Linked DNA regions of Xenopus tropicalis. The protein of the gene in region 1 purifies or fractionates together with the protein of each later gene. This does not show direct contact. Links are inferred from orthologs where the notes say so. Each region holds a gene or a part of one and is shown on either strand. Other genes may lie near its edges.

Region 1 (6,197 bases):
AGATAAATGCTGTTTAATACGAAATTGCTTTATTCTGACATCCACTCTATAAAAGTTAAAATGCAAATAAAAATTATTGAAAAGAAATTGATGAGAGCACTATTCTAAGCACTTTTGCACTTAGCATTCATTTTTTCCCCAAGATTTGAAGATATTAAGGAGAATGTGTACTGTTAATTTGAATTCATTTTGTAACAACAGCACTAGCTGCTGGTCTGTTTCCTCCTCTGATGTAGTCAAGGAAATTATTAGGTGAAAGATGGTCGAACATAACTTCTCTTACATCTTTCCAAACATCATCATTTTAATATAATCTGGTCCTCAAACATGAAAATGAGAAATTATTGGCCAACTACATTTAATAAATTAGACAGGACTGCTGTAGTAGAAATCACTGCATGGGCTTAGGACTGCTTCCTGAAAATGATTTTGTGTGAACATGGTTAGTCATTGCATCCACAAATACAAGTTAAATCTCTACCACGCAAAAAAGAAATCATAAATAAACTTGATCCAGAAAAACAGCAACTTTCTCTGGACCCAAGCTTATTTAAGATAAACTGAGTTGAAGTGGTGAAGGCTGATGTGATGTGTCCTGTGGTCTGATAAATCAAAATTTAAAATTCTTTTTGGAAATCATAGATGGTGATCATAAATGGTCCTTCTTTTGGGCTAAAGAGAAGGACAGCCCTGCTTGTTATAAGCACACAGTTTAAAATCCAGCATCCATGATGGTATGGGGGGTGCATTAGTGCACACAGAATGGGTAGTTTGCACATCTTGGAAATTATGTTGAAAGATATATGCAGGTTTTAGAGCAAACTATGCTGCTATTCCGATTATGTTTTTTTTTTTTAGGGAAGACCTTGCCTGTTCCAGCAAGACAATGCCAAACTGCATTCTGCATGTGTTACAACAGCAGTCTAACCCTGTCACCCACTGAAATTTTGCACAGTATGAAATAAAAAATACAACTGCTGAGCAGCTGAAATCCTATATCAGGCAGGGGTTGTTAATAGAAGAGGTGATGCAACACAGTGGGAAACATGCCCCAGTCTCAACCTTTTTAGAACTTGCTGCTGGCATTTAATTCAAAATGAATTTGTCATGTTTAATGGGTAAATCTTACAGCTAACCAGGAACACACTGTAGAATTTACCAGTAAACTCATATATAGGAAGGCTTGCACTGTAATTGCACAATGACAGCAATCTCATGCTAGTTTGGTCATCGTCCAAATTATTTCTTCCTTTTAAAATCGCCAGGCATGTCAGTCAGCGGGTAGCTGGTCACCTGTTCAAAAGCAAACATGTTATTGGTTACTATGGGTTACTGCACTCAAAATTAATAAATATTTTATATTTTAGGTTGTGGAATTATTGAATATGGCTGCTCTTGCTACAAATGATTCCAAAATTACCATGCTTAAACAGGTAATAATCAATTCTTTATACCCTGTTTGCCAATACACAAAAGCAGAGAAAAGTCAAATGTAAAATTTTATTCACAGGTTCAAGAACTCATAATAAACAAGGACCCCACTTTGCTGGACAACTTTCTTGATGTAAGTGAGAATTCCAGATTGTCTGTGGTGTATGTTGAATTTTTAACACTCAGTAGTTTAGTGTTTTTAATGTCATTTTTGATCTTGTTTGTATAGGAAATAATTGCTTTTCAAGCAGACAAATCTGTAGAAGTCCGAAAATTTGTGGTAAATTTCATAGAAGAAGCTTGGTGAGTTAACACAGGAACGTAAAGACTTTCATTGAAATACAAAGGTATTTGTAGACTAAAAAGCATGACAACTTCAAAATAAATGTTTTGGATATAACTGGATCTGATTGGATAAAAAAGGGTTTAAAACAATATAATATATGTATAAAAGAAGCTATCTTTAACCTAGACACTGGGAATCCTCTTAGGGGTTGCTGCAGAAGTCATACCTAGTTGCAAATGAGTCACTGGGGCGGAGGGGGGTTTAAGGACATATTGGTATATTGCTATATGCCCTTACATACTGTATACATATATGCTATTCTTACATACCTAAACAAATGTTTCTCAAATAAATGTAAAAGTATTATGTGAATATAATACACAAAAACAATGTACCAAGGCTTATAAAACTGCTTTTCTAAATAGCTAAGGAAATATTTCACAGTTGGTCCAGGTATAGGATCTGTTATCAGGAAACCCATTAAAAAGTTCTGAGTGACTGTGAAGGCCATCTACCATAGACTCTATTTTAAGCAAAGTTCTTACATTTTTTTTTATTTCCTATGGTTTATTCCCCCCCTCCACTTATGTTACTGTATAAAAAGCAAAATAAAAATCAATCACATTCAGTTATATACTTAGAGATTGGCTATCATGATTTTACAATATCAGTATAGAATAAACTGTGATTTATTTCTAAGTATCCTTTTTTGTATTGATATGTTATTTAGTTCAATTGGTTTACTTGTGTCTAAAAACTTTTTTTCCAATAACAACTTAGCACTGATACTTGTAGGCGACTTTGCACTCACTCATCTTTACTTCACTCTTGCCAGTAAACTGGACAATGAGCTTCTGATTAAATTAATCGCCAACCTTCATATGCTACTGAAGGATGAGAATGTCAATGTGGTGAAGAAGTCCATTTTGACCATGACCCAGCTGTATAAAGTGGCCCTTCAGGTAATAATGTGTGTTAATTATTTTGTATTGTCTTGAATTACTTATTTATTGCTGTACACTGTTCATTTTAGGTATTTTACTCACATTGCCAAATTTTAATTAGTATACATTTATAATGAAAAGGTAAGTAAGCTATGATATTGCAGGGTTTTTTATTTTAGATTTTGAAACACCACGTAGTAGAAGAACTTTTTAGGAAACATAGCTATAGGTGTAGACACCTATGGAGAGGGCTATATCTCCCAAAATGATTCACTGTTGCATGACATTAAAGGAGAAATAAAATTACAATCATTGGGGGGGGTGCCAAAATGTTAGGCGCCCCCCAATAATTTTAATCACATACCTGAAGCCCCCAGCTGGTGCTCCTGTTGGGAGAAAACTGCACTGGCCGGGGTGTGCATGAGTGAGCATTCCTCTTCCTCCTTTGGTCTTCGTACATGCGCAGTTGAACTTTTTTTCATCGGTCGGGATAACTATCACTGGGGAGTGCCTAACATTTGCCCCTCCCTACTGATTTAGCCTTTCCTTCCCCTTCAAGTACAAATAATATCAGTAGGGATGCACTGAATCCAGGATTCAACCAAGATTCAGCCTTTTTCAGCAGGATTCGGATTTGGCCAAATCCATGCCTCTGTTCGAACCTAATCCAAATCATGTGACTTTCTGTCAAATAAACATGGAAGTTGAACTTGGTTCCCATGTGCTTTAGTTCAGAGAAAGTATATTGTAGAGAGAAAATTATTTGATAACATTTTGGCATACACACATCCTACAACACTGGCCATGCATCTTGGGTATCTGATGGGAAATTGTCATATAGCAAAACAATGTACAAAAAGCACGAGAAATGCAATTGTAAAATCCTGGAAAGTTTCACTGAAGCCCCTATCAAGGTAGGCTTTGGAACAACTGGATAGGGGGAGACACATGGTCCTTGGGGACCTTGAACCCCAGCTTCACAAGCAAGTCTTGGCCTTCTTCCAGCTACCGTGTGTTGCCTGTTGTTACAGTTGAAGGATAGGCGGAATTGGAAAAGCCAACGATACTGGATCCCACTAATCTATATTTACCCCAATGTTCTGACCTGGAATGATGGTCCTTAGGCTCAGTCACATGAAGACTGAAAGGAGGCTTTGCATTATTGATTAACTCTACCACAACTTCATGCCCTTTTATATACTCTAGAGCATATATGTCAAACACAAGGCCTGGAGGCCAAATCCGGCCCACCTGGCTGTTTTACATGGCCCTTGGTGAGTGTGTCTGACCATCCAGCCTGATCAGTTTCCATTTTCCTCACATAGTAACTAATACTAAGGGGTATATTTATCATGCTGTGTAAAAAATGGAGTGAAGCATTACCAGTGATGTTTCCCAAGGCATCCGATCAGTAATCAGATTTCAACAGTAGCAAAGCATTTATTGGCTGCTATGAGCAACATCACCAGTAATGTCCACTTTTTATACATTGTGATAAATATACCCCTTAGTATCTTACTAAGTATATTAATAAAAAATGTGGCCTGCGACTTAGCCTGTGTTTTAGATTTCGGCCCCCTTATGTGATTGAGTTTGACACCCCTGCTCTAGAGCTTTTACATTTTGTAAATGTTTTGGGAATTTTGCCAATAGTAATTAAATTGTGTTGTCTGTAATCACCAGGTGGTATTTCATAGTGCTCAGAGAATTGGCTTGTGTTCATATTTATATTTTCATCATAAGTTGTCAACTTTGGACTAACATTTTTGGAAGTCTCTTTGTTTCTTGCATCTTTGTCACAGTGTAATTTCTATATCTCCTTGCTTCCTTTTCTTATTGACTGATCTTTCCTGCAGTGGGTTGCTCGCTCCCGCCCTCCATCTGAGCAACAAGAATCCTGCTGGGACCTTGTAACTGAGATGGCTGCAGACATCCTCCTCTTGTTGGAATCGGATAATGATGGCATCCGCACTCATGCAGTAAAGTTTGTAGAAAGTTTGATTGTCACCTTGTCTCCTCGTACCCCTGACAGTGAAGTTCCAAAAAGACAAGAAGGGGACATCAGCCTAGAGCAGATCCCTTCTGACCATGCATTCCTTAAATATAGTGAGTTTATCAATAACTTTTGTCTCTTATGACCCTTTAGCATATATTTTTCTCCTACATTCTCCTTGCCCTTTATTCTTCAGATACACTGCGAGATGTAGGAAAACAGGCTGTGAAGGAACTTCTAAAGTTTATGGCTCACCCTGCTATCTCCAGCATCAACCTTACAGCAGCCCTTGGATCTTTAGCATCGATTGCTCGACAGAGGCCGATGTTTATGGCAGAAGTTATCCAGGCTTATGAGACCCTGCATGGTACGGAAAAACATTGCATGCCCTATTCTAGACTTTAAATTCTCTAATCCCTAAATATTTAAGGCAACTTTATAAAAGTAGTGCTTCCTAGTAATACTGTGACCATGTGTAATATCTGAATCATCATACTTTTAATTTGCCATCCTGTAACCTCTCTCCTCACCTCTACAGCCAACCTACCCCCTACACTAGCAAAGTCCCAAGTGAGCAGTGTGCGTAAAAATCTCAAACTGCAGCTATTGAGTGTACTGCGTCATTCATCATCTTATGAGTACCAGGGGCCTATAAGTACTCTCCTGTTAGACTTGGGTACTAGCCAGGGAGAGATAACCAGACATCTTCCTCCGCCAAGGGACAGCAACCGGAAAAGGGCCAGGGAAGATGGTGAAGGGGGACAAAAGAAGAGCCGCACTGGTAAGATTAATGTTATTGTCAAAACAATACAGTAAAAATAAGTGTTTTTTGTTAGAACAATACAGTGGTGTTAAAAATTGCTTAGGGCAAACAGGTACAAAGCATAAAGATCGACTTTATCCAACATATCACAAGTCTCTCCTTTATATGCAGACATTCCACTGCCTGATGACGATGATGATAAAGACACAATACAGCTTCCCACCATTCCTGCTCCTGCACCAAGCACGCAGTCGGCTACAGACATCACAGCTGAATTCCTGCGCCCACTGCTTTCCCCAGAGAATGTGGCAAACCTGGTTAGTGTAACATTTAAAGTCATTGTGTATTAGATTCCAAGGATGTAGCGATCAGGGATTCAAATGCTCTTGCATGGTTGCATTTACTGGACAAAATAATCTTTTAGGGTGAAAGTACACAGAGCTACTTAGTAGCAGCTATTGTCAGGGCTTCTAAACACCAGAAAATATCCTGCCATAGACAATACTGAGAATTGCCTCTGCTAAAAAACACGTAGAGACCAGTCAGTAAATGATCTGCATTGTCTATTTTTGTACAAGCTGCTACTAGTAGCTCTGTGTGTCTTTATCCTTATATTCTAACTTACAATATAGAGTTTATCTATACAGATATTAAGGTTGTTTTCCCTAAGTATTAAGTGAAGAAAAAAGTACAGTACATTTTTTTTAGTTTAAGTGCCATTTAGAAAACTGTGCAAGCTTCTCTAGATTTCCAACAGTATATTAACATGCATTAAGTATA
Region 2 (6,197 bases), on another chromosome or scaffold:
TATGTAAGCATGTGGTGAGTGTGGCCATAGTCAATTGACAGCTGCAATAATGGTGAGCACCGCACTGGCTTCAACCCTGGAGACAGGTCTGGACTGAGATTCAAAAAGGCCCTGGCACTGTACAGAGATGCCCAAACAGAACTGCACAGGCCCAGTGGTTGTCTATGGCACCTTGCAGCAGCCCCAATGGCTGCTACCAGAACCTACAGATTTCCAGTCCAGTGCTGGCATATTGTTTCCATGTGTCTGCTACTAGCTAGGAGCCCCTTAGTTACTTTGCCCTGTTCCCTTCCACTTTTTGCTTGGGGCAAAGGAATAAAGGAGTGGCTCATATTTACACCAAGAAGTGCTGGAGAACATCGAATCTACATTCTGTGGCACTCTGAGCCTATTATCCATAGAATGTAGTGTATATATGGAGTCAGAAGGAGCATGTCTGCTAACATAATGGGGTAATAAAGGTACAGTCTTATGAAAAAGTTTGGGAACCTCTCTTTCTCTTTGGAGTTTTGTTTATCATTGGCTGAGCTTTTAAAGTAGCAACTTCCTTTTAATATATAACATGCCTTATGAAAACAGTAGTATTTCAGCAGTGACATTAAGTTTATTGGATTAACAGAAAATATGCATCTTAACAAAATTAGACAGGTGCATAAATTTGGGTACCCTAACAAAGATATTACATCAATACTTAGTTGAGCCTCCTTTTGCAAATGTAACAGCCTCTACACACCTCCTATAGCCTTTGATTAGCAAAATTACAAGGGTACCAAATTTTTGCACAGCCAGTTTTTCACATTTGATTTAACTTCATACAACTTAATACTGCTTCACTAAAAATCTTTGTTCAGAAAGCATCCCAGTACTCAGATGTTCCTGGGAAATGAAGACATGCCACTGTTACCGTTTTTGTTGAAAGTGGCGTAAATTATTATGCAGACTGAGAGGGGTTCCCAAACTTTTTCATATGACTATTTTGTTTTCAATCAAACTTGACCCATTTTTTTCTAAAATAATAGGTAACACTGGTTAGTTCATTAGAAGTCTATTAAGATACAGTAATCAGTTTCCAGTCATCACTAAAATAGATTTTATTAACAATGTTAAGTTCAAGAGAACTGTTGGCATTTGATCTAATCTGTACAAAAGTTATATTAAAGAAATAAAAAGAAATAAAAATACATTTACATTTTTTTATTTAAAAAAATAGTTACTGGCAAAAACTTTCACTTTGCCAAACAGTTCTTGGCAGGAGAAGATTCCAATAAACTGCTCAGAGTAAATAGCAGAAAATATCCCAATATTTACTTAAGAACAAGGAAAAGTCTCCAGCATCTTGATGTCAAAATTAAAAAGGAAACGTCTGTCCACTGCGTCCTTACAAGAATTATGTCCATACCCCAAACCACTTGTCACTGCCCACTCAAGAAAGCCAAGTGACCTTTTGTACATCTGTTGGCATAATGTCCTTTCTCACCACACTGCAATAAGAAAGAAAAAGAAACATTTAATACCAAAATTAACTACTTGAATATAGATTAAGTGCAGTGGCACTCTGAGCTTTGTACCAATTTTTTTCTTAGGGTGTAACCCAGTTATCCCCAACCAGTGGCTCCTGAGCAACATGTTGCTCCGAAACCCCTTGGATGTTGCTCCCAGTGGCTTTAAAGCAGGTGCTTATTTTTGAATTATTGGCTTGGAGGCAAGTTTTAGTTGCATAAAAACAGATGTACTGACAAACAGAACACCCTGTAGGCTTCCAGTTCATATAGGGGCTACCAAACATCCAATAACAATTTTTATTTGGAATCCCAGGAACATGTCTTATGCTTGTGTTGCTCCCCAACTCTTTTTACATTTGAATGTGGCTCACGGGTAAAAAAGGTTGGGGATCAACAAGTATAGGTATGGGATTAGTTATCCGGAAACCCTTTATCCAGAAAGCTACAAATTACAGGAAGGCCATCTCTCATAGACTCCATTTAAATCTAATTCTCTGTAATTATAAAACAGTACCTTGTACTTGATCTTAACGAAGATATAATTAATTCATATTGGTGGCAAAATAATCCTATTGGGTTTATTTAATGTTTAAATACATTTTTAGTAGATTTAAGGTGTGGAGATCCAAATTACAGAAAGACCCCTTATCTGGTCACAAGAATTCTGGATAACAGGTCCCGTTTATGTACAAATTATCAGCAATTATTTCTTTGGACAGCAAATGTGTATGTTCTACAGGTATGGGACCCCTTATCCTAAAATCCAATATCCTGAATTACAGGATGGCAACTAAGCCAATATTATTATTATTATTATTATTATTGTTTAGCCAATATTATTGGCTAAACAAACCTACTATGTTTATTTAATGTTTACATGATTTTTAGAAGGCTTAAAGGGCATGTCAACCCCAAAAATAATTTTTTGCATAATGAAAGAAACCATAATAATTCTAAGCAACTTTCCAATATGAAATAATTAAAAATTTGTAGCGCTTTAAAAATGTTATTTGTAAATATAATTGCTATTGAAAGCTGCATTTGCTGAACTTCTGGTTGTTACAGTTTAAACAATGTTGCAAAGGTCTTGCTTCTCCAGCAAGTCAGGTCTGTCAGTCTGCTGGCTTGTGTTACAATGTTTCAACAGTCAGAGCCACCAGAGCAGAGAATAGAAAAGGACAGGCAAACACTGCTTCTAATAGCAATTATAAATACAAATAACTCAAAAACCATTACAAACATGTAATAAATGTATATTGCAAAGGTGCTTAGAATTTTGGTTTGTTTTATTAGGCAAAAAATTACATTTTGCGTTGCCTTGTCCTTTAAGGTAAGGTAATTCAAATTACAGAAAGATCCCTTATCAGAAAACCCCAGGTCCCAAGCATTGCTGATAATAGATTCTATACCTGTAGTATTTCACTACAGGTATAGAATCTGGAAAGTCACATACACTATTATATCTCATATGTGACTGTCTGGCAATTCAGATAAATGGTCTTTACCTAGACAATGTATCAGATTTAGTCTCTTGAAGGTTTTATTGTACTGATTTTAATATTTTTATGTATTTGTATAAATGCATATTATTTGAGGTGCTCTTTTCTTTATATTAGTAGTTTCCCTTCTTGCCCTGTTAGTACAACCATCTATAAATATAGTACCTGCCACTGTTTTAGCTACTGCTCCAATTGAATTTTTTAAATTTATGTGCATTTTACTTCTTAGCTATATATTTTTATGTGCTAATTATAGATGCAAGTATGACATTTCTGCTCATATTTGTTTTTAGGGGTTAGTTCTCTTTGCCGAAGTTATAGACATTCAATTAATGTATAACAGCCTCTAAAATGGTTGGATGCCCACTTTCCCACAAGAAAATTCAAAGAATTTCCTCTCTTTTGTGAATCTTTTCAAAAATTCGCAATTTTTTCTGCGAAACGGGACAGATTCACTTATCACTAGTCATGTGATCACTGCATCAGTGATTAGAGCTGTGCTTTAAAAAAAAAAGCAAGTGCAATGCCCCTGCATATCTCAGGCTTACCCCCTGTGTTAACACAAATCATTTATCTGGGCTTAGATTTCAGAAGCTTTCAATGGTGAACTTTTCAACAGAGCAAATGCTTTGAAAGGCAGAATGATTCTTTAAAAAAAACAATTCTATTATTTTAAAGATCATAGATAAAGATCATACATTAGATAAATTCTGACCTTATAGCAGGTAACTTGGTCCAGTGGCCTAGGTCCCCGGTTCCCCTGGTTGCCACTTTGTGACTGCATGACACCGATTGTCTGTGGGGAACGTTGTTGGCTGACAGGAGAGTTTTGGCTTGTTAGCTGAATGAGTGAGGATGACCTTTGTAACACCTGGTTATTATTTTGCTGGAGATAAAAAATAAACCTGTAAGAACTCTTAAACCATAATTTTGCATAGTGTAAGTTTGCAAAGTGTAAATAGACAAATACCTTCTGTTGAGTCTGTGTTTGCTGGGGTAGAGGCGGCTGTTCTGTGGTTCCCATAGGTAATTCAAAACGTGGACTGCAGAATTATATTAAGAAAACAGTAAGTCTAATTCCCTCATAACCCCCATAAAAGTTTGATAATATTTCCAGCATAATCTCTTTTTAAAGGGGTATTATAATGAAGACACTCATTAATAAGCTTTAACAATCACTTGCTAGTGTTCAGGCAACACTAGCAAATCTATGGTTGTCTTCATCATATATAACTTTGTCCATTAAAGGGACACTAACACTTCTGGTATGTCCCCATTTTTCCTATACAAAGTTTTGGGGCCAAATACAAAAAAGCAGTGGAGTTAGATTGCTGACAGTTTACTCCTATGGAAACACAACATAGTAAGGCAATACTAAAAGTTTATCTATAAATCATTTGAGCTTTTTTTTTTTCTAGGGGATATCATAAAAAGCTCTTATCCCAGTCCCTCCCTCACAAATACAGAACTGCTGACCACAGGCAGCAATGTATTTTATGGGGCAGACACAGATATCTGTGCTTTGTTTTGGAGTGCACAGACCTGTGCAAATTCTGTTAATTCCCTACCCTTCACTATTTGACACAAACATTTTCTAAATATAATCTATAAAATGTTATTTGGGAAGAACACAAATTCAGCAGGTATGAATACCACATGTCTGGAAAGTCACTAAATGAGTACATGTGAAGAAGATGGAAAATAAATGTACTCACTGCATGAATTTACAGTTAGGGCCTTCGATACAGAATCCCACCAAGTAATTGACACAAATTACTCTTCGAGTATGCCGGTGCCTACAGAGGGGCCCTGAAAAGACATAATATAAATTAAGGGCCACTGACATTCCTTTGTACAATATAAAATGGCAAAGATTTTATAAGGTCCTATAATCTTACCGTGCTTACAGAAGCCCCTGTCATACCATGGGCAGTCTTTTATCTTTGATTCCGGGTCAATATGCAAAAATGGGCACTCTTTGTTACTGCACTCACCTAACAAATACAAACAAAAAATAATTCAACTAATATGCTGTAATTATCAAACTAGCTATCTGGTTGAAAACAATCAAAAAGCATTCATAATTCTTACTTCAAATATATATATTTAGCACAAGCTCTGATCATTGAATTTATGAAAAAGTGGGTGCACTAATCCTTAAAAAAAATTTAGAAAGGGGTCTTGTTAAGAATCGTTCAGATTTTCTGGATTGTGCTGGCCATATCCCCTAACATACACCACACTGCCCAGTAGCTTTGTGTAAAGGGTTAATAATATAAGCCAATACATGCACCACTGGTTATGGAAGAAAAAAGAACAAAAAGAAATAAATTAAACATTAACTTTTTAATATAAAAAAGAGTGAGGTACTGACCACCACAGGTATAACCTTTAAAAATAGACTTTAATGCCAATAAAACCTATTAAATAATACAATCACTTACCAAACTTGGAGTAGAAGTAGCACTCTGGCATTTTAGTCATATCATACTCGTGCAAAAATTCACACTGGTCTCCCTTCTTGCAAAGGCCTCGTAACCAATGTTTACAGACCACTGTCTTCTCCCCACTGATATGTCTAAACGGACACATTCCGCCTGCACAGATAAGACAGATAGTTTAAAAAAGTGAAATATATTATTCTCTCTCTACCTATGTACATTGGTGATGCACCGAATCCATAATTTTCAAAAACTGGCAGAATACCCACAAAAACTGGGACCCTAATTTGCAATTTAAAATAATGCTTTTATTTGTCCAAGGATCGAACTCTGGAAATGGTGCATCCCTAATATAAAAGAAATAAAGAGAGATAAAGTGATTTTGTATATTATATTTCTTTAATTCTTTATAATAGCATATATTTTGCAATCTATTGTAGGGCATCCAAAAGAACAACATTTTGGGGGATTATTTATTATCACTGGAGACAAACACCTACAAGTTAGAAAGCAAAAGCAAAGATCAGCTTGGTATGGGCAACATCACCAGTGATGTTTATCTCCAATGTTAATAAATACACCCCTGTGCTGTACTTCATGCTAAGTGTCTGTGGACAATAATTTAAAGGGGAACTCCACCCAAACACAACTTAAATGATGTACTTTTCAAAAAGTGTAAGCAATTTTGCAATATAAATCAATTAAAAGATATGCAGCCTTTTCATGATTTTTAATGTAATAATATGGTTTTAAAC
Region 3 (5,499 bases), about 16 Mb from region 1:
ACCAAACTGCACAACCAAATCTGCATTTATACGGCAACTTTAAAGAAGACCTAAAACTTAACAAAAAAAAAAGTATAGCAGAAATGATGTACAAGGCAACCACAGCCCTGTAGCAGGGAAGATCTCTGCATCCAAAAGGTGCCCCAGTAGCTCCCCATCTTCTTTTCTGCTAATTCATTGCACATGCTCTGTGCTGCCGTTACCTTAGGGACCGACTTATACGTTTATACATACAAATTTTAAATATAAGGCCGAGAGATTTGTCACATTTTTGCCACCTAGAACACTATATTTATTCTGCAGAAACCTATATCATACCTGAGTAAAGAACCCTAGAAGCTTTCTCTGATTGCAGCTGCCATTTTAGCTTGGTCTTCATAGCTTCCTTACAGTCTAGCCATTATAGCTCAGATTACACAGTCCTAAGGGTGGGGAGTGAGTTTTATGAATTCTTATTGGAAGGGGGAGCAGGAAAGGGGGGGAAAGAAAGGAGAAAACTGCAGACTCTGGCCCCAGGAATGAAGGATTTTTCTTAGAGAGGAAGTGTAATACCGAAGAACATGTTTACAAAAAAGAAGAAAGAAATCCTGTTTCTTTTGATAGAGGATTCAGTGCAGCATTACTGTAAATGCATATGGCTGTATTTACATAGACCTATCTGATAAAGCTTACTTAGTTTTTACCTTTCCTTCCCCTTTAAGTACAGTTATCACCTCTAATAATCCTCATAATAAAATCTTATAAGCAATATCCAAATTTGCCTACAGCAGGAAAAAATATTTCTCACTTAAATTTACAGTATATGTATTAATAACTTTTATAAATAGATTCTGTTGAAAAATTATTAGTTGTGCGTGGCAGTACATTTTCAGGAAAACACAGGTACTTTTCTAAAGTTGCAGAAGCGCCATGAAGAATAGGTTTCCCTGTAATTTGTGACATTCTATGTTTACTGAAAGCATGAAGTACAAGATAAAAAACCTGCAGCATGTAAAGAGTTAAAGGGTTTACTTCCAGTACAGATTTTTTAATACCTTACGTAAGTGATATATTAGATATACACAGATATAGCACTAACTGAATGTGGCAGCAGCACCTAAAAAGTGCTAAGGAGTGTTGGAACCTGCATGGTATATACCAGTGTTCCCCAACCAGTGGCTCGTGAGGAACATGTTGCTCCCCAACCCACTGGATGTTGCTCCCCGTGGCCTCAAAGCAGGTGATTATTTTTTAATTTCTGGTAAGGAGGCAAGTTTTGGTTGCATAAAAAACAAGTATAATGTCAAACAGGGCCTTCTGTAGGCTGCCAGTCCATGTAGGGGCTATTAAGTAGCCAATTATAGCTTATTGGCACCCCCAGGAACCTTTTTCATGCTTGTGTTGTTCCCCAACTTTTTCCATTTAAATGTGGCTCGTGGGTATAAAAGGTTGGGGATCCCTGGTATATACACTCTGTTTACAGGGCTGCCCCAAGAAAGGGATAAGTGAACATCCTGTTAGGGGCCCAGACAGATGAGATGAACCAGATTCATAGGTCCCCCAAAATACTTGGAGCCTGGTGCACAATTAAATGGTTTGGAGCAGATCAGGGTTATGGTTATGTGTAAGAGTGTTTCAACAGGGCATGGCTATTTATAACAACAATAATTTTAAAAACTGAAGCCCACTGTACTTTGGCTTATGACTACTTTAAATTTTAAATCACCAGGTATTTAACCCAGGTCCAGACTCAGACTCAGACTCAAACCAGGCTTTGGTATTTCAGGTACAGAGAGGTCCAAACATGCCATGCCGCATCTTTACTGCCAAACATGGTGTGTTAATATCAAACAGAGCAGTCGTAAACTCCAATTAAACCTGTCCCAGCCAGGACCAACGAAGCAGGAACTTCCTCCAATGAGAACAAAATTTAAACTTAATAGCCTTCGCTACCTTTACATGTTTTCTTCATGTTGTTATCTACTTCATAAAAATAAACTACTTTGATCCTTGTGAAAGCAAAGAGGGGAGAAAGTAATTGTGTGTGTTCCTGGGTAACATATGAAATTCCAACCAAAAAGAGGACAAACTGGATTTGTAACATAAATTATAATTTCAACGGTTTTCTATGCATTTTCCAGGTTAAAAAAAATATAAAAAGAAAAAAATGAGCATGGACAGTCCAGAAGTAATTTTTACATGGCATGCCTTTTTAAATGAACATTCTTCACACGATGGCATATTGTTCATATAAAAGTTCTCTTATTTTAAAAAAGTCCTCACAAAGGCATCCTTCTAGACCAATCCGACCAGTTTCCGTCTGCAAAATAAAAAAAATGATTGCATTTTATTTTACACAAACACAAATAACATTACACAAACAAAACGATTAAGTAAAAAAACAATTAAATGAAAATAATGTGAAGGTACTGCAGAGCATATTTTCTGGTGTTTGTGTAAATGACTCATTTTCAGAAAAGCAAAATAAATTAACAAAATGCACTTTTTGTAATAAGGCAAACATCCCAGGATTATATTAAGACCAATGCCACCTTAAATGCCTTTAAAGAAATACTACATTTTTATACAGATTTCTGATCCAGACCCTCTAACTAATAGGGCTACCATATTTTCAGTTCTTTTACTTAACTGATTGATCACTAAATACACTATAAGATATGCCAGTAAGTTTCAAAGGATCTAGCATCAATGGGCGATCAAGTGCCTTGAAGTTTTGAAAGCTTTATGTGCAAGCTCCTGCTCTTCTAACTTTACTTTCACATCCATCTCAGATGAATCCATGGTCCTGGTCGAACCGAATCAGAATCCTTAAAATTATGTGACTTTTTGTTACATAAACACAGAAGTTAAACATTTTTCCACATGCACAGGGTTCTTTTTATCCCGTCAGTAGCTTGATTTGCATATGCATATTGGATTCGGTTCAGCCATTCAGGGTTCGTCCGAATCCCAAAATAGTGGATTTGGTGCATCCGTATGCGCTTTATAAATAAAGTTATACATACGTACATAAATTTAGAGCAGCTCTTACTGAAAATACTCAAATATAAAGCAAATTTAAGCCCACATCAGGTGTATTTTTACATTTTATATATCTAGATCTGTTCTCTTGACAAGTAACATTTACTAAATAAAAGTAAATAAACTAACTGCATGAAATAATATTGGGAAGAGACTGAGGAAGAGAACTTCTGAGCTTGGGATATAAAACCAAGCAATTCATTAAGTTCTGGACTTACCCTTCGGACAGCTACCATATTGTTGCACACTAGCACACCACCAACAAATTCAGCCTGAATCCCTTCCCGCAAAAGGACTTGTTTGAAATCTGACAGTCGTGGTTCATTCATGAAAACTGACTGGTGTCCTGGGACCTGTAAACAGTAATAAATGCATGTTTACTGCAGCCACAATGAGGGCTTTAAAATGTCTAATTTTTTTTTTGTAATCTTTACTGAGGCAGTGATTTATCATAGCTGTAATTGTATTTTGCACTTGTAAAACTTTATTTATATTGTTCCAGCATTGAATCCTTTTTCCTGCAAATGAAATAGGCATGAGAAGCAAGGATTTGGATAGGTGGCAGTTCTCAATGCTGAGACTGGGCATTATAAACCCATGGAGGAGAATAACATTGTTGCAAAAGTAATTCTATAACGTACAAAAAAGTTAATTTAATGGTAAGCTTCTCCCATAAATAGCAGCACAGAATCATCATCTGGTTGTGCAAATCCCTAGGATTATCACGAAGCATATTTAAGACTATACCGAAATCATTTCTATCTTATAAGTAAAATTATTTTGTAACAGTTATAAGCAGTGCTACGTTTAAGCTTCATTGACACATGATTGATCTAGTGAATCCTAGTCAAGTCACAGTTGCATCTAATGATTGACCTTTGATCGATGCACTAAAGCTGCATTCTCATCCAGCTTCATTAGATAAGAGTGTTAACTATCTCTGGAATAACCTAAACTACTCAAATACTACTTCCATATACAAACACAGGTGATACAGAATATAAGAAATATGCAAACATCATTAGCTAGCTGAGTAGGTAATTTAAACACATAAATAATAAAGAAAAGACATTAGTAATGTCTACAGGCAATGAATGCGCTACTTTGGCACTTTCTACCTTTAATCATGCAAAAGAACATCAACACACTACAACAGCACAGAGCTAAAATATGCACCCCTGAAAAGCACTAACTCCACTGCAGTGTTTCCCCCCAAAGCACAAAACTATGATCATCTCCTAGAACCAGTAATAAAATGACTTGCATGCTGGATACTTCTTGCTGCCGCTCTGTTAAGAATTTTGAAACTGGAGAAAAAAGACATTACAGGTAAAGGATCTATTATCCAAAAACCATTTTAAGCCAATTTTTTTTTTTTTTTAATTTCAGTTATTTCGTTTTTTACTTTAAAAAATAAGACAGTACATTGTACTTGATGGTAAGCAAGCTGCATAAATCCATGTTGGTGGAAAAAAATATGACGATCCAAAAATTCTGGAAAACCCTAGGTCCCAAGCATTCCACATAATAGAGCCCATGCAATTACAATCACTTAACATATATTGCAAACCTCATTGCTTGGTAATGGCTCCAATGTTGGGATGATCTCACTTTCTTCTGAAAACTCTTTGTCATCATCTCCAAACAGGCTTTTAATGGCCTTTTGCTGTGCTATTGCGCTGGCATCCAAAGCTTGAGTATCCACTTGCATTTCTGAATCTTCCCCTTCATCTTTTAATTCCCCTTCTTCTAATATGACCCCGGTGTCTACTTTTGATACTCTCATGTCCAGTACCCCGTCAATCCATGCCAACTCTGTATCTTTAGCTTTGCAGAACTTAAGGGAGCTAACCAAGGAATCTTTCAGTCTTACCTGAACAAAAGAATCAAACTTTTAGATGATTGTATTTACAAAACTCAACCTAGTACAAGCCATGGGATGTGCAGCAAGCACCCATGCATCACATGCACAATTTTAGCATACTCTCCTTTGCAGAACTACTCACACATTGATAAAGAATAACCAGAACATGAAAAACACACAAAATATGGAAAATACCGCTTCTATTGTTTTTCATGTGGTATTGGGTGATCCACATAAAAAAAAAACATCACATGGTATAATAACAATTTTCAAAAAAGACAGTTTCCTATTTAAAGGAACTGTTCAGTGTAAAAATAAAACTGGTTAAACAGGCTGTGCAAAATTAAACAAAAAAATGTTGTCAATAGTTATTTAACCCAAAATGGAATCTATAAAGGCTGGATTGAACAGATGTCTAACATAATAGCTAGAACACTACTCCCTTCTTTTCATCCCTCTAACCATGACAATTAAAGGGGGGGCCACATGGGAGGGACAAAACTATTCAGTCAGCTGGCTTTTGAATCTAACCTGCATGCTCAGGATTAAAAGGATTTATATTTACACTGAACTGTTTCTGTAAAGAAATAATATTGTTTACATAGCGTAACATA
Region 4 (5,680 bases), on another chromosome or scaffold:
GGGATTTTCTGTTATTTAGTAGCCTTGAAAAAGTAGCTGCTACTAGTAGCTCTGTGTGTCTTCACCCTTTGGGCAGTGGCACACAGGGAGATTAATTGCCCGCAAACAAATCTTCACTGTTGCGGGCGACTTTTCCCCCCGAAATGCCATCCCACCGGCGATTTACATACTCGCCGGTGGGATGGCATTTCGGGGAGATTAGTCGCCCGCGACAAGGGAGATCTGTCTAATCTCCCCGTCTGCTACAGCCCTAAGAGGAAACTTTGGGCGACTTCCGGAAATCACAGCGACGCATATGCCTTCCCACCGGCGATTTACATTCTAGACGGTAGGATGGCATTGCGGGGAGATCAGTCGCCCGCGACAACAAAGATTTGTCACAGGGCAACTAATCTTCCCGTGTGCCACAGCCCTTAAAAGGGAAGGAAAGGCTAAGTCACTTGGGGTGCCAAAATGTTAGGCTCCCCCAAGTGACTTTAACCGCTTACCTTGTACCCCGGGCTGGTGCCCCTGTTAGGGGAAAAAATCACCAGTCTGGGGTACCTGTAGGAAGCGCTTCCTCCTTCCTCTCTCTTCTGCCGGCGAAATCCATCGGTCAGCTCATGCGCAATAGAGTGAAAAGCCGACTTTCTTGTTTAAGTTCGGCTTTTCACTCTACTGCGCATGTGCGCGCAAGCGAAAAGGAAGGAGGAAGCGCTCGCTGCTACCCCGGGCTGGTGCTGTTCTCTCCGTACAGGGGCACCAGCCCGGGGTAAAAGGTAAGCGATCTAAGTCACTTGGGGGTGCCTAACATTTCCTTCTCCTTTAAGCAAAACCTAGTGATTTCCAATTTGAACCTTTGGGGAAGTCAGACATGAAGCACTTATTCCTCAAGTATTGTTTCTCCCTGCAGTTACATCAGCCAAAGGACCAGGGAACTTCAGGCTTGTTGGTGAAGGAGCCCTGCATCAGATTCTTTCAGGACTAGGTTCTGTAGACCCACTTTTAAGGTCAGAAAAAAAAATATGGCAAGGTATGACAAGTACGGGATCCCGGAAACCCGTTACCTTCCCTGGAGTTCATTTTAAGCAAATAATTCTAATTTTTTCTCTATAATAATTAACAGTATGGTAACTATGCTGCATAAATCAATATTGCTGGCAAAACAATGTCACTGGGTTTATGATAGCAATGGTGCAGTAATAGCTACCCAGAACTTAAAGGGAGGTATATTCTAATCTACTGCGAAAATATGTGAAATGGATCTAGAAACTAGCCAGCTGGAAGGGATAAACCTGGAATATAATGTCTCCTGTAATACGGACGAGCAGCTGCTTAAAAATATTAATGACCATCTATTTATGTAAAGAGAATAAACCTAAATAGAATGAAGTTTAATGTATGGTCTAATTTTTTCACCTATAATATTATAGTTTATTGGGGCTCAAAGCTCTCACAGTGCTAGCCTGAGTCGTGCAGTGCCTGTGGCCCCTTTTCAGTGGAATTATGTAGTTGTTGGGTAGTGTTCCCCTTCTTCTCTATGTCCTGCACCTAGTAGAGAAAAAAGCCACAAGCAGACCTTATTTACATGTACTGATTGCTGGATAGTCTGCTTGAGAGCACTGAGCAGAGCAGGGGAGCATCGGGGAACACTTCCATTATCAGTAAATGAAGCCTTTGCCATAGTGACTGGCAGAACAGCAGAGGGCGCTCCTGTAAATCAACCATCTTCTGCACTTTATTGTGTGTTGTATTATGTGCAGGCTGCACTTGAGCCTCGTGCTATGAACATTCTGCCCTGAGAGGCACCTCCCGGCTTCTCGGTAACCCTTAGTTCCGACCCTTTCTTGTTTAAGGTGGGACATAAGCAGCTCTGGAATCCTTCTGTACAACCGTTTGCCAAAGTGCATGATGTATAAGGCGCTTCCACAATAAACAGAACACCAATATATGAATAAAGGACAACTCTGATATTATTTATAAACCAATCACAGTGTTTTTAGTGATAAATTAATGACATTTTGTGCTTTACTTCAGAACAGTAAGTACAATTTGATTTACATCTTACAAAGGAATGAAAAACATTTCATATTAAAAAAACAAACTACAAAAGAATGGCATGCTGGTTTAGAGGCTGGCTGGGCAAAGGGCGTCATACAGTCTCTGTGCTGCCTGCTGGACCATCTCCCGCAGGGTCTCGTCCTCATCAATTCCTTCCTCATATTCCACAGTCTGAGGAACAAAACAGAAAGTCAATGAGATATTCTCAGGTTAGGGCCATAAGCACAGCTGCCTTTGGGGATTTCATACAGGAGTGACTGCCCTGGAACCACTTTCTAAGGAACCCTGGGGGGCAGTGGCTATACAGGGTAATGCTGTAAATATTCCAGTGCTCCCCCTGCACAAGGTGGGGTCGTCACTACTGGAGAACACTTGGCTCTATGCCTTACAATATTTGCCCCTGCTCTTCCCTTGTGTCACAACTTTTTATCCTTCTTTATTTCATTTCCATGTAAAACCACCTAGAAACCCTGGTTTATTTTCCTCCTTTTCCTTCTCCGCTTAGGTGCACACTGAGAATTAAACCAAAACTGTCCTTTCAAATCTAAGCAGCCCCAATAAATAGTGACTGTCTATGGTGTGTTTACCAGAACCTACACATTGCCAGACTGGGCCTGTTCCAATGAAACAGCTTGAGTTCAGCCATCTTGCCTGGCAAAAGTGCTCATGGAGGTGCTATTCTTTTTCAAATCTATGAAATGTTAGGACACCTACCCGTGTTTCCATGGACAAAATGGCGCTCTTTCCATCCACAGTGACTGTGATACTGCTGGCATCCTCGCAATTCACACAATCGTCACCAAAAATATCCCTGAAATGAAGAATATGAAATATTTAGGAAAGCCATGTGTAGTTATTACAGCTGTGAGCTTGGTATCTACCAAAGCCCCATAGACAATCTGGGATATGGAACATCTTTTCAAGGGGTGCCAATGTACTGGGAGCAGACTTCGATGGGGGAATATGTGTCAGGAACAGGGATCTCCGGATGCAAGTGGTGGTTGTGCGGTTCAATCACCACTTGCATCCAGAGATCCCTGTTCCTGACACAGACATTGAGAATTAATGTTTGTTCTGGGTAAGGTAATGTGAACAATGGGTTCCACAGCTGGTACCAACTAAAGTAAGTGGGTCACATTGGCTCTAGAATAATGCTGAGGGGACAACTATGTTACCATATGGAGAATATGCCTTACTGCAGCATCATCTCCAGCCTCTTCCTGTAGGCGTCCATATCCACTTCCTTGGATGCTCTAGTGGCTACAGCTGCAAGAGACAAAGAAAATACATCCTGTTTGTTTATTGTACTGACAAATAACCATTTATCAACCATCTCATTAGCCTATAGGGGGGGGACAGTTTCTCTAGAGTTGTTGGTTCCTTAGTTGTACTTCCATTTAGACAGCTGGGAGTAAGCACAAGACAAATCATTATGCAACACAAACCTTTATTGGCTTTTGGATTAGACTGAAGCTCCAAGATGACTGTGATTACGGTGTCTGCATACATGTCATTGGCTGGATTTGCTACCCACTGAGAGAAAGAACATTGCACATGTTAAATGAATATGAAATACAAGCCAAGTGCCATTACCAACTGGCCCTATAAATGTTCACAGACTCTTTAAAGCTGATATTATCCCTTGGGATCAGGCACATTGCCAGATACATTGCCTGTTTTCTATATGGAGAGTGGGTCAACCCAGATACACAATATGGCAGCTCCACTCACACTGATAAAATACCAGAGCAACCATAGTGGGTACCACTATTACAACTGTTTCTCCCACAAGGCAGATATTAGTAGCAGGGGAACAGAGTGAGATATAAAGTTACCTCCAGGTACACCATCCCAGCGTCCCTCACAACAGTGACAGCTTTGAATACCCTCAGTGCATCTTTCTCATTCACTTCAATCTCTTCCACATCCCCTGAAAGGAGAGAGAGAAAGGCTTATTATAGCAGGTCTGCCTGATGCCCATGCCCTGGCAGCACCTGTTGGTTTTAATGCCAAGTCCTATACAATACATGCAATATACATTTCTGTCATATACATTTTCATCATTTCACATGATATTGAAAAGAGATGGGGTGGCTACAAAGATTGGGGAACAAGACATGGAAATTAGGGAGCATGCAGAGAGGTCAGACAGACTGGGAAATGAGTATATAGTATGTAGAGATGAATTGGAGATCAGGGGGGAAGCAGGGAAAGGCCGGCAGGTTATGGGACAGAAGCAGATGGCATATTGTATTTGCCAGTTGTAGCCATTCTCTCTATATCAGTCAGGAGTCCCTACCTCATTAACCAATATGGCCGTATCTCCCTATAATACAAACTAGATGTATGCTAGTGTGCAACACAGCTGACATGGAAAAGTAAATGTATTTTAAGGACAGGGCTAGCTGAGTGGTTTCCCTGCTCTCCAGTCTATAATCAATAGCTCCCAATAAAACCCGTCACTTGGGAGAATGTTGGTGATAAAAATGGATCACCATTTGGATTGCAGTCTTAGGTTTGCCAAAATGGATCCTACCCTCGGGGCCCTGGGTAAGTCAGAATGCCTCATTTCCCAACCTAAGAAAACATTAAGTACATGGGGATAGACTATCTACTGTCCTTCAGTGACAGGTTCACTAAAACAGCACCCTCAATGACCTTACACATAACAATATTATATAATTTCCACTTTAACTAGGGACATTCTCAGACACTGGGGCCCCAGGGCAAATGTAATGTTTTATGGCTTTATCACTCAATGCGATTCCACTGTCCTGTATCAGCCCATCACAGAAATGAATGTCACAGGGGTCAGGCAGGGCAGAGATGACCCTTTGTGTATATATAAGAAAGGATGTTACCTGTAAGCTGCTGTAACTGGCAAGACAGAAGGTTAAAAGGGCCAGTATATGGAATGGCCTGTTTCTGCGTGACGGTGCTCATGGCCAAGTCAGTATAACCTACAGACAGAAAAACAGAGAATTACAGTTAGCTATACTACATTAAATCACATTACATTAAGTTGATTAAAGATGACATATACCTTGATTTTAAATATAATGTTATACAATAGAAGGAAATACATTTGTTTAGCATACCATGTCATTCCAGTTTCTATAAAAACCCTGAACAATAATCTACCGTAGCTCCCCTTACTCTCACTTTCCCTTCTTATTGTCTAGCAGAGCCAAAGCAGCCAGGGGCTCTATAATATACATGACGTTCGTATCTGCAATACTGGCTCTCCCCTGTCTTATTGCAACTCAAAGCAACCAATTAGTGATTAATTTCTTTTACCCACCTGGAGGTAGAACAATTAAAACCAAACATTTGATTTGTTGCCATAGGTTACTGCCCAAGTGCAAATTTGCCCAGTGGTAATAAATGAGCTGCACTGCGGCTTCACTTACTAGAGAGGTCACTGGGACAAAGTATGTGATAGTTAAAGTTCCTCTTCACCAGGATCCCTGAAATCCTCTGTCCTTGCTCTGGCTTCTTGTCTGCCAGTAAACCCATCACCTGGTGGACAGAAACTGCAATGTGAATCTGAAAATGCCACCGAGCAGCAGTTTGCATTCCAAAACCAACGTGGGCCCTGTCTTTCGGGGCAGTGCTGTACCTTTGCCAACTTTTCTCCTCT
Region 5 (6,706 bases), on another chromosome or scaffold:
GGCCAATTGCTGCTTTTTTTTGCTTTTGGCATGCTGCCTTCAGATTCACAAATTAGACCTATTGTCTTCAATGGAGCCTTGTATAGTGCATATATATATAAATTGTACACTCCCAAATGCAGGATAACTAAAAACAAATTTATTCTATAAAACCTACCTTAATTAGAAACCAGATTAAAATCTCATATTATGTACAAATCAACAGTTTCTCCTTCCTTAACATGTTATAGTCCAGGGAGCGCTTAAACAGTGCGTATTATGATAATGTGTGTATATGTATATTGTTAATGTTATATGTATTTATATGTATTATGAGATTTTAATCTGTTGTTTTCCATATGGAATAAAGTTTGCTTTTAAAGGAGACATATCATATAAAAATTAAGAATGTACCAGAGAATTATACTCCTCTAAATATAGGATTGTGCTTAAAAAAGTTATATATTGAGACATTCCACCTAAACCCCAGTAGTCCCGCCCACCTGTTCCACTTCCTGCTGACTGAATTCTCTGGATGTGCAGGGGAGCCGGCGGCTCTCAGTACATTGCACTGTAGGATAGGAACCAATCAGCAGCTAGGTTGACCTGATAGGGAACTGAAGCCTGTCTTTGCTTGTGTGAGTGCAGGGCTGTGATTGGCTCTCCCCCTCCTGCTGTACTTCTGGCAGGGACTGTTAGGACACACCCACCCTTTATTTGAAACACAGACAGAGACCTGATTGGATCTATAGGGAGCTACAATAAAGGGGCCATGTTTACAGACTGTATTTAATTTTAGCCCAAACTGAAACCAGCACCATCTAATATTCATAATTATCCTATTAGCAGGAGAGAATTGTATCCACATCCACTCCATAAGCTTACTACTGTATTATTCATAATTGCCTACAAAATTAGAGTTTTTCCATTCATCCAATATGTCTCCTTTAATTATTCTCCGCTTAGAGCATGTTTTTTGTTTTTATTTTATGTTCCCTGATAAGGGGTAACATATTAACATGACGTATATTTGCCATTAGATCATGTGATCATGGCGCCGCTGCTCAGTGCCTGAAAGAAGCAAGAAGAATGAATGAAGTGTGTTAACGCTGCTGCTGGTTTAAATGTATTCTGACTAAAATTGATTCAGTCGCTGGTAATTGGAATACAAAGACTGAGAAAATTGCTGAAAACTTTAAATTGGAAAAAAAAACTTGACTCGAAGTCACAGTTAATCATTTTTTTTAAACTTTGTTTTTAAAAATATAGCTTGAATGCTCAAAATACACTTTCTGCTGACTTCTATAGAAGATCACCACGTTTTAGCAGCCTAATTTTATTTATTTAAATTTCTAATGATAAATCTTGAAAATTCCCATGCGGAAAACTCAAAAATGTATTTATCATGGTGTTACCTGTACCCAAGCTGTCCATGCAAAAAATGTAGGAAACCACTGGCTAACCTTGAAAGACGGGTGCCGAACCTCCCTTCCAAGTCCCTTGTGATCCAGTACTTCAGTTCATGCTTTCGTGTGGGCAAACATTACATAGTCCTCCAGCTGCACATGTAGGCCAAATGTGCATATAGAAAAGGAATATGCCCAAGCACAAACAGAGATGGAACAATAAAGTGTCTAATGATTGAGCACCACTCTGTGTTCTTTGTACAGTGGATAGAAAATTCTCTGAAATAAATTCAAAAAATGCTCTGAACAAATATACAAGTATCTATATTGGCAGTGATAAATAGCTTTGAGTAGATTCCAAGCTCTGTAGCATTTTGGGGGCTATTTATGGCACCCAAAAAAAATGTCCACAGGTATCCAGAAACATGATATCCAGAAAGCTCCTATATCCAAAAACCTGATATCCAGATTTCTAGAGTTCATGTAAGCAAATAATTATTTATTTATTTATTTATTTTAAGATTTGCTTTTTCTCTTTAATAATAAAACATTAGATTCTTTTAGGTGGTAACTAAGCTGCATAAAACTGTACTGGTGGCAAAACTATCCTATTGGGCTGAGACACACAGGCAACACTTTCAGATTTTTGAAGGGTAGGGGCAGATTCTCGGCCTGAGGATGTGCAGGAAAAGAATCTGCCCCATGTGGCACTAGCCTAAAATAATATTTGCTATGTATACCAGTAAGTTATAGTTATGCCGCTGACACTGTAACTGTATGCCAAGCCTGTAGTGAGAAGTCCCTGTATTTAAAAGTGTGTGTATGACCTTCATACCCATTAGTTAGCAGCTATGCTGAATCCAGTGGGTTTCACCATAGTATAAAAAGTCCTAGGCCTATTTAGATTTTGGAAAAGTTATTAGGAGCATTTTTGTGCAACAAAGTATGATTTCTAACATTCTAAAAATAACCGTTGTTTCATACAATATGGAATTCTAACTTCTTTAAAGGGTTATTGACACTTGACATTCACAAGATTGGTACAGCCACGCCACAGTATTTCTACCATATAGGTTGCTCTCTGCTTCCCCTAGGCTCTGGGTTACTGTATCGTTTTGGGGAAAGTGTCAGGTAAGTTAGCCTTTAAATCCATCTCCTTGGCCAATTCTGACAATAAAGAAAACGTTCTATGTGCGCACACTCAGAAACACGGATTAAAAGAATGGAGCAAGGTTTTATCCATACATTATTCGGGTTTGCGTGTATAACGTATACACATGGCAATCTGGCCAGGGCTAATAGGTGCGCAATAAATAAACATATTGATTCGTTTGTTTTATTTATTTCTTTAATAAAAGCGCCGATAGGTTTCGTCTCCAACGCATAATCCTAACAACTAACAAAGTATAATAAGTATTACTGTCACTGCAAACACAACAACCTGTTGCTACAAGTAACATGAACAACCAGAGCCAGAACAATTTCCCATTACCCCAGCACAGTGGGCAACTCAAGCAGCACGTCCCTAGCAGCACCTTTACTTCCCCTTTAGCAAGCGCTCTCCCGGCAGGTGCAGCCAATAAGCCGCACAGCAGTTGGGGGCAGGGGCTATAAATGCGCCCCTCCCGGCCCAGTTGGCTGTTGCAAATACGAGACCGAAGCAGTGCCATTGTCTAGTGGGGGAAAAAGTCACTGCATGCAAGTCCAATTTGGATTTAAGTTTTAATTACCCAACCCTGACCAGGATCCTGTGCCATGGCCTTCCCACTGGTAAGGCAGTTTAAACGCTAGTTTGTATTTGGAGGTTGTAGTGAAGGTATGGCCTTAAATACGAGTGCAGCCAAATTGGAATGGACTATATACTAGATCCGTGTGTTTACTTGCTAGTTTTGCGTTAACTTGTGCTTATGTGCAAATGGTGGCGGAGGTTCATGCTGTGCGTGACAATTACTCCATGCACACTGCATTGCGCCACTAGGCTAGTAGTATTGCGGGAGGCCTGGGATAGCCATGCTGAGTGACTAATATTCACTTAAATGACTTGTATTTTAAATGGCTTTATATAAATCCGAGTAGTCTGCAAAAAGCACCTTAATTTAATACAAACTGGCAATGTCAGCTATTTTAAGTCTTGGATGAAAGCATGGCTGCATAGATGAAATGCCTGGTAGGCATACATATATACTTGTATAAGTGTATTATCGCTGCAAGTCGGTGTGTTCTCGGCCTACAGTAGGCCATCTAACCTGCAGCTTTCCAGTTATTGTTGGAGCAGAACTGGTCTCCGTCTCTTGGGGCTCAGGGAGTAACAACTGGGGAACTGCTGCCTAGACATCAGAAAGCTCTAGAACCCTGATATCGGAGACAAATTAGTTATTTGTCTACAGTAATGGCATTCACGCGTTAATGTGTTATTTCAATATACAGATTTTTCCCTGCAAACCTACATGCTTGCCTAGAAGGTCTGGCTGTCAACGACTGTACGTGCCTCGGATACACGGTATTTCCCCTGCATTACAGGCATAGGTCGGATCTTGGCCACTACTATTTGCAGGCTGATTGCATGGTTGATACAATTCCCAGTGGAATCAATCGCATCGTGGAGAACACACCGTCCCTGCCAAGTAATACCTTGAGCCTACCCCTTGCTCAGACTCCAGTTGCTGGCGCTGCACATACACCGGCATGGTGTTGGCAAAAGGCGCAGATGGTGGTTAGTCAGGCCAGCATGAGGGATAAGCATGTGTAGCTCCGGCTTTAGTAAGGGCTCCATTGGCTTGGTGATTTAGTGACTTTGACCTTATAGTTATATCTCTGCATTACGTTTAATATACTGGCGGTCGCCTTCGCCGGGGCGCAAACCCTGGTGACGCCGCAAATTGTGGGGGCGCCAGAAATAAGCATTATGATGGAATGCACTTTACGGACTCTCAGTAACAGAACTTTATGCTGCTGCTATACTTGCCAACTGGTAACGGTACCAAGTGTCCTAAGATGCCCGTTTATATGTAGCTTTCCTGCAGATGGCGGCTGTTCACGTCTAGTTGGACAACAGTCCTACACTTTTCCTAACATTAGAAGCCTAAGCCTTACACTCTGAGTTATGTCAACAGGGGCATAAAGAAGTGTATTTGTAAGGAGCTAGAGTAGTGTTTATATAACTGAACTTGTAGTTGTCCTTCGGTGGAACAAGTTTTGCAGAGTTGACTGATGCTTGAACATTGGGTTTCAGTGACCTGCAATACAAACCTTTAATTCCCTGCGCTCAATAAAACACACACAACATAACCTTGCGGCGATTATGGCGTAGGGGACGGGTGACCGGCAGTGCGCTAGGGTGCACACAGGTAACCGGCACAGTGGGTGTGAGGGTGGCGCGCAGTTGCAGGTGCTGCCGCCTCGTGTGCGCACACGTGTGGCCCCGCCCCGTTGCCAGAGAGCCGCATGCGGTGGGAGGAAGCGGGAAAGCTGCAGCCAGAGCCCTACGCCATGTGGTCCCGACAGGTACTTCAGCTGCCTTGTAGTTGGCTAGTGAGCGTGTTCTGGTTGGAATGGTAGGGGCACTGTACGTGCAGCTGGGCTTATGCAGCCTCCGTGTCAGAGAAACAGTTTTCCATGGAACTGCGGGAGCAGCCGCTGCTTAGTAGGCTCTTCTCTTTAGCTTCCGAAGCTTTAGGAAACGGCGTGTCCCGACACTGGGATGGCCCAATGCATGCTGAGGGAGACTTTTAAGCCCATTGCTGGCTTCAGTGTGTAAGTGGGGTACCATAGGGATGTCTAACATGGTACCCCACTTCCACACGGGATGCTAAACAGTCCCTGCCGCCTTACCCTCAGCCGTTGTGATGTTACTCCTTTTTCCAAACTCTATTTAGAGATAAAATAAGTGAAGCCTATTTCTTTGAAACATTGGTTGGACTTAAAAAATATTGGGGGGGGGGGATTGTAATTAAAAATAGCAAGTGCTGTGTACAATGGCATTTTTGCCAATGTATAGTGCACCTATTACACTGCATTTATTGCATTGCCAAACCTTAACAATTGAAGATGGTGGAAACCTTAATGTGACAATTGGTTAGGATGCTTTTACATGCACTGGCACTTGCGCAACTATATATGCACATAATTTGTCTGTTGCAGGACAAATTGTTTGCAAATGTTGTTTTTCTGTCCTGCAGATGCAGAATTTGTCTCAAAGCTAAAATTCTGTCCCGTTGCAACCTTTTTCTGTTGGTGACATGTATTAGTCTCCCATTGGGTTTTAAGGCATTTTTGTACCTTTTTTTCATGTAAAGGTTTTCATCTTTCTCTATGAAACCAGTCACACAGTGCCAAGTGGGCCAGACGGTTGAATGGCTTTGTCAGGCTCAGCCATTGCACCTCTTCATGACTGCCATGTTTTACGCAGGATTTGTGACAAAACTCTGATTTGTTAGATGTATAACAAGACTGCTGTTTCGGCCACTCCTGAAGCCAAACTGAGAGAGGCTGCAGGAGCGGCCGAAACGTCAGTCTTGTTATACATCTAACAAATCAGAGTTTTGTCACAAATCCTGTGTGAAGCGGCCCATTTTTTCCTATTTGTATATGAGGTAATTAGCTTGGTAAGGAGTATCCTGATGCTGAAGGGGTCACAGTATGTCCTACTATGAAGACCAACAACTATAGTGTGACAGGATTGCAGCGCTGTTAATTCTCCCAACTGGGATATAAAACTTTGAGGAACTGTTCAGCAGAACTGCAGCTGCCAGATATTGTATGATGATGTGCTGCTTATTTTGTTACATTGTAATACTTGTACCAAGGCAGCAGCCATACCCTCCCACTCTTTGACATGTATTTTTTTTTTTTTTACCATGGGTAAACCTTTTACTTGTGCACATGCAGCCCCATCCCTGGTTGCCACATGGGTGATGCTAATTGCAAAAAAAAAAAAAATTTTTAACTTGCTAGTCTGAAAGTCAATATATGAATTAGATGTGCAGTGTATTTGAAATCATTGGCTTTAGTAGGTTTTTGAGCATTTGATGCCAAAGTATGAAATAAGCATTGGGTGTTAGTTCAGGTCAGGAAAAACTTAACCCACATTTGACCCTAACCCTCAAAACCATAACCTCACCCTAACCTGCAAAATGTTGCCATTGTAGGACCCAGCCTGTAGCCTCAACTTTCTTCTCTGTATGCTACTTCTGCACGGTTTCAAGACAAGGAAATATTTGGGAGCAGAGGAAGTGTGTACTTCCCAAGTCTGACCTGTACCAATCCTGAACCTGAAATGGTCGCCCAAATTTCAGCTCTGACCCGCCTAACCTAAGGGTAAA

Evidence for each region.
Region 2: the proteins of sympk (region 1) and cpsf4 purify together in Homo sapiens (affinity purification with mass spectrometry; 4 studies listed by BioGRID and IntAct, counting the BioPlex papers as one, with this or other methods). This does not show direct contact. The link is inferred for Xenopus tropicalis from reciprocal best matches to the Homo sapiens genes SYMPK and CPSF4.
Region 3: the proteins of sympk (region 1) and cpsf2 purify together in Homo sapiens (co-immunoprecipitation; 8 studies listed by BioGRID and IntAct, with this or other methods). This does not show direct contact. The link is inferred for Xenopus tropicalis from reciprocal best matches to the Homo sapiens genes SYMPK and CPSF2.
Region 4: the proteins of sympk (region 1) and cpsf3 fractionate together in Homo sapiens (co-fractionation; 6 studies listed by BioGRID and IntAct, with this or other methods). This does not show direct contact. The link is inferred for Xenopus tropicalis from reciprocal best matches to the Homo sapiens genes SYMPK and CPSF3.
Region 5: the proteins of sympk (region 1) and cpeb1 purify together in Homo sapiens (affinity purification with mass spectrometry; 3 studies listed by BioGRID and IntAct, counting the BioPlex papers as one, with this or other methods). This does not show direct contact. The link is inferred for Xenopus tropicalis from reciprocal best matches to the Homo sapiens genes SYMPK and CPEB1.

What each region holds. Positions count from the first base shown.
Region 1 is NC_030684.2:70,984,028-70,990,224, forward strand, and holds part of sympk (symplekin), read left to right. Parts: intron 1-1,367; coding exon 1,368-1,433; intron 1,434-1,510; coding exon 1,511-1,564; intron 1,565-1,660; coding exon 1,661-1,734; intron 1,735-2,552; coding exon 2,553-2,679; intron 2,680-4,517; coding exon 4,518-4,767; intron 4,768-4,850; coding exon 4,851-5,021; intron 5,022-5,192; coding exon 5,193-5,435; intron 5,436-5,588; coding exon 5,589-5,734; intron 5,735-6,197. UniProt on the Homo sapiens protein: Scaffold protein that functions as a component of a multimolecular complex involved in histone mRNA 3'-end processing. Specific component of the tight junction (TJ) plaque, but might not be an exclusively junctional component. May have a house-keeping rule.
Region 2 is NC_030685.2:47,253,019-47,259,215, forward strand, and holds the end of cpsf4 (cleavage and polyadenylation specificity factor subunit 4), read right to left. Parts: intron 5,599-6,197; coding exon 5,446-5,598; intron 4,996-5,445; coding exon 4,900-4,995; intron 4,841-4,899; coding exon of another isoform or gene 4,811-4,840; coding exon 4,717-4,810; intron 4,045-4,716; coding exon 3,972-4,044; intron 3,888-3,971; coding exon 3,717-3,887; intron 1,482-3,716; coding exon 1,413-1,481; 3' UTR 1,067-1,412; downstream 1-1,066. UniProt on the Homo sapiens protein: Component of the cleavage and polyadenylation specificity factor (CPSF) complex that play a key role in pre-mRNA 3'-end formation, recognizing the AAUAAA signal sequence and interacting with poly(A) polymerase and other factors to bring about cleavage and poly(A) addition.
Region 3 is NC_030684.2:87,345,780-87,351,278, reverse strand, and holds the end of cpsf2 (cleavage and polyadenylation specificity factor subunit 2), read right to left. Parts: intron 4,895-5,499; coding exon 4,592-4,894; intron 3,375-4,591; coding exon 3,240-3,374; intron 2,300-3,239; coding exon 2,207-2,299; 3' UTR 2,074-2,206; downstream 1-2,073. UniProt on the Homo sapiens protein: Component of the cleavage and polyadenylation specificity factor (CPSF) complex that play a key role in pre-mRNA 3'-end formation, recognizing the AAUAAA signal sequence and interacting with poly(A) polymerase and other factors to bring about cleavage and poly(A) addition.
Region 4 is NC_030681.2:137,816,015-137,821,694, reverse strand, and holds the end of cpsf3 (cleavage and polyadenylation specificity factor subunit 3), read right to left. Parts: coding exon 5,660-5,680; intron 5,560-5,659; coding exon 5,451-5,559; intron 5,001-5,450; coding exon 4,902-5,000; intron 3,971-4,901; coding exon 3,876-3,970; intron 3,574-3,875; coding exon 3,486-3,573; intron 3,307-3,485; coding exon 3,237-3,306; intron 2,852-3,236; coding exon 2,755-2,851; intron 2,212-2,754; coding exon 2,107-2,211; 3' UTR 1,929-2,106; downstream 1-1,928. UniProt on the Homo sapiens protein: Component of the cleavage and polyadenylation specificity factor (CPSF) complex that plays a key role in pre-mRNA 3'-end formation, recognizing the AAUAAA signal sequence and interacting with poly(A) polymerase and other factors to bring about cleavage and poly(A) addition.
Region 5 is NC_030679.2:94,723,397-94,730,102, reverse strand, and holds the start of cpeb1 (cytoplasmic polyadenylation element-binding protein 1), read left to right. Parts: upstream 1-3,064; 5' UTR 3,065-3,140; coding exon 3,141-3,155; intron 3,156-6,706.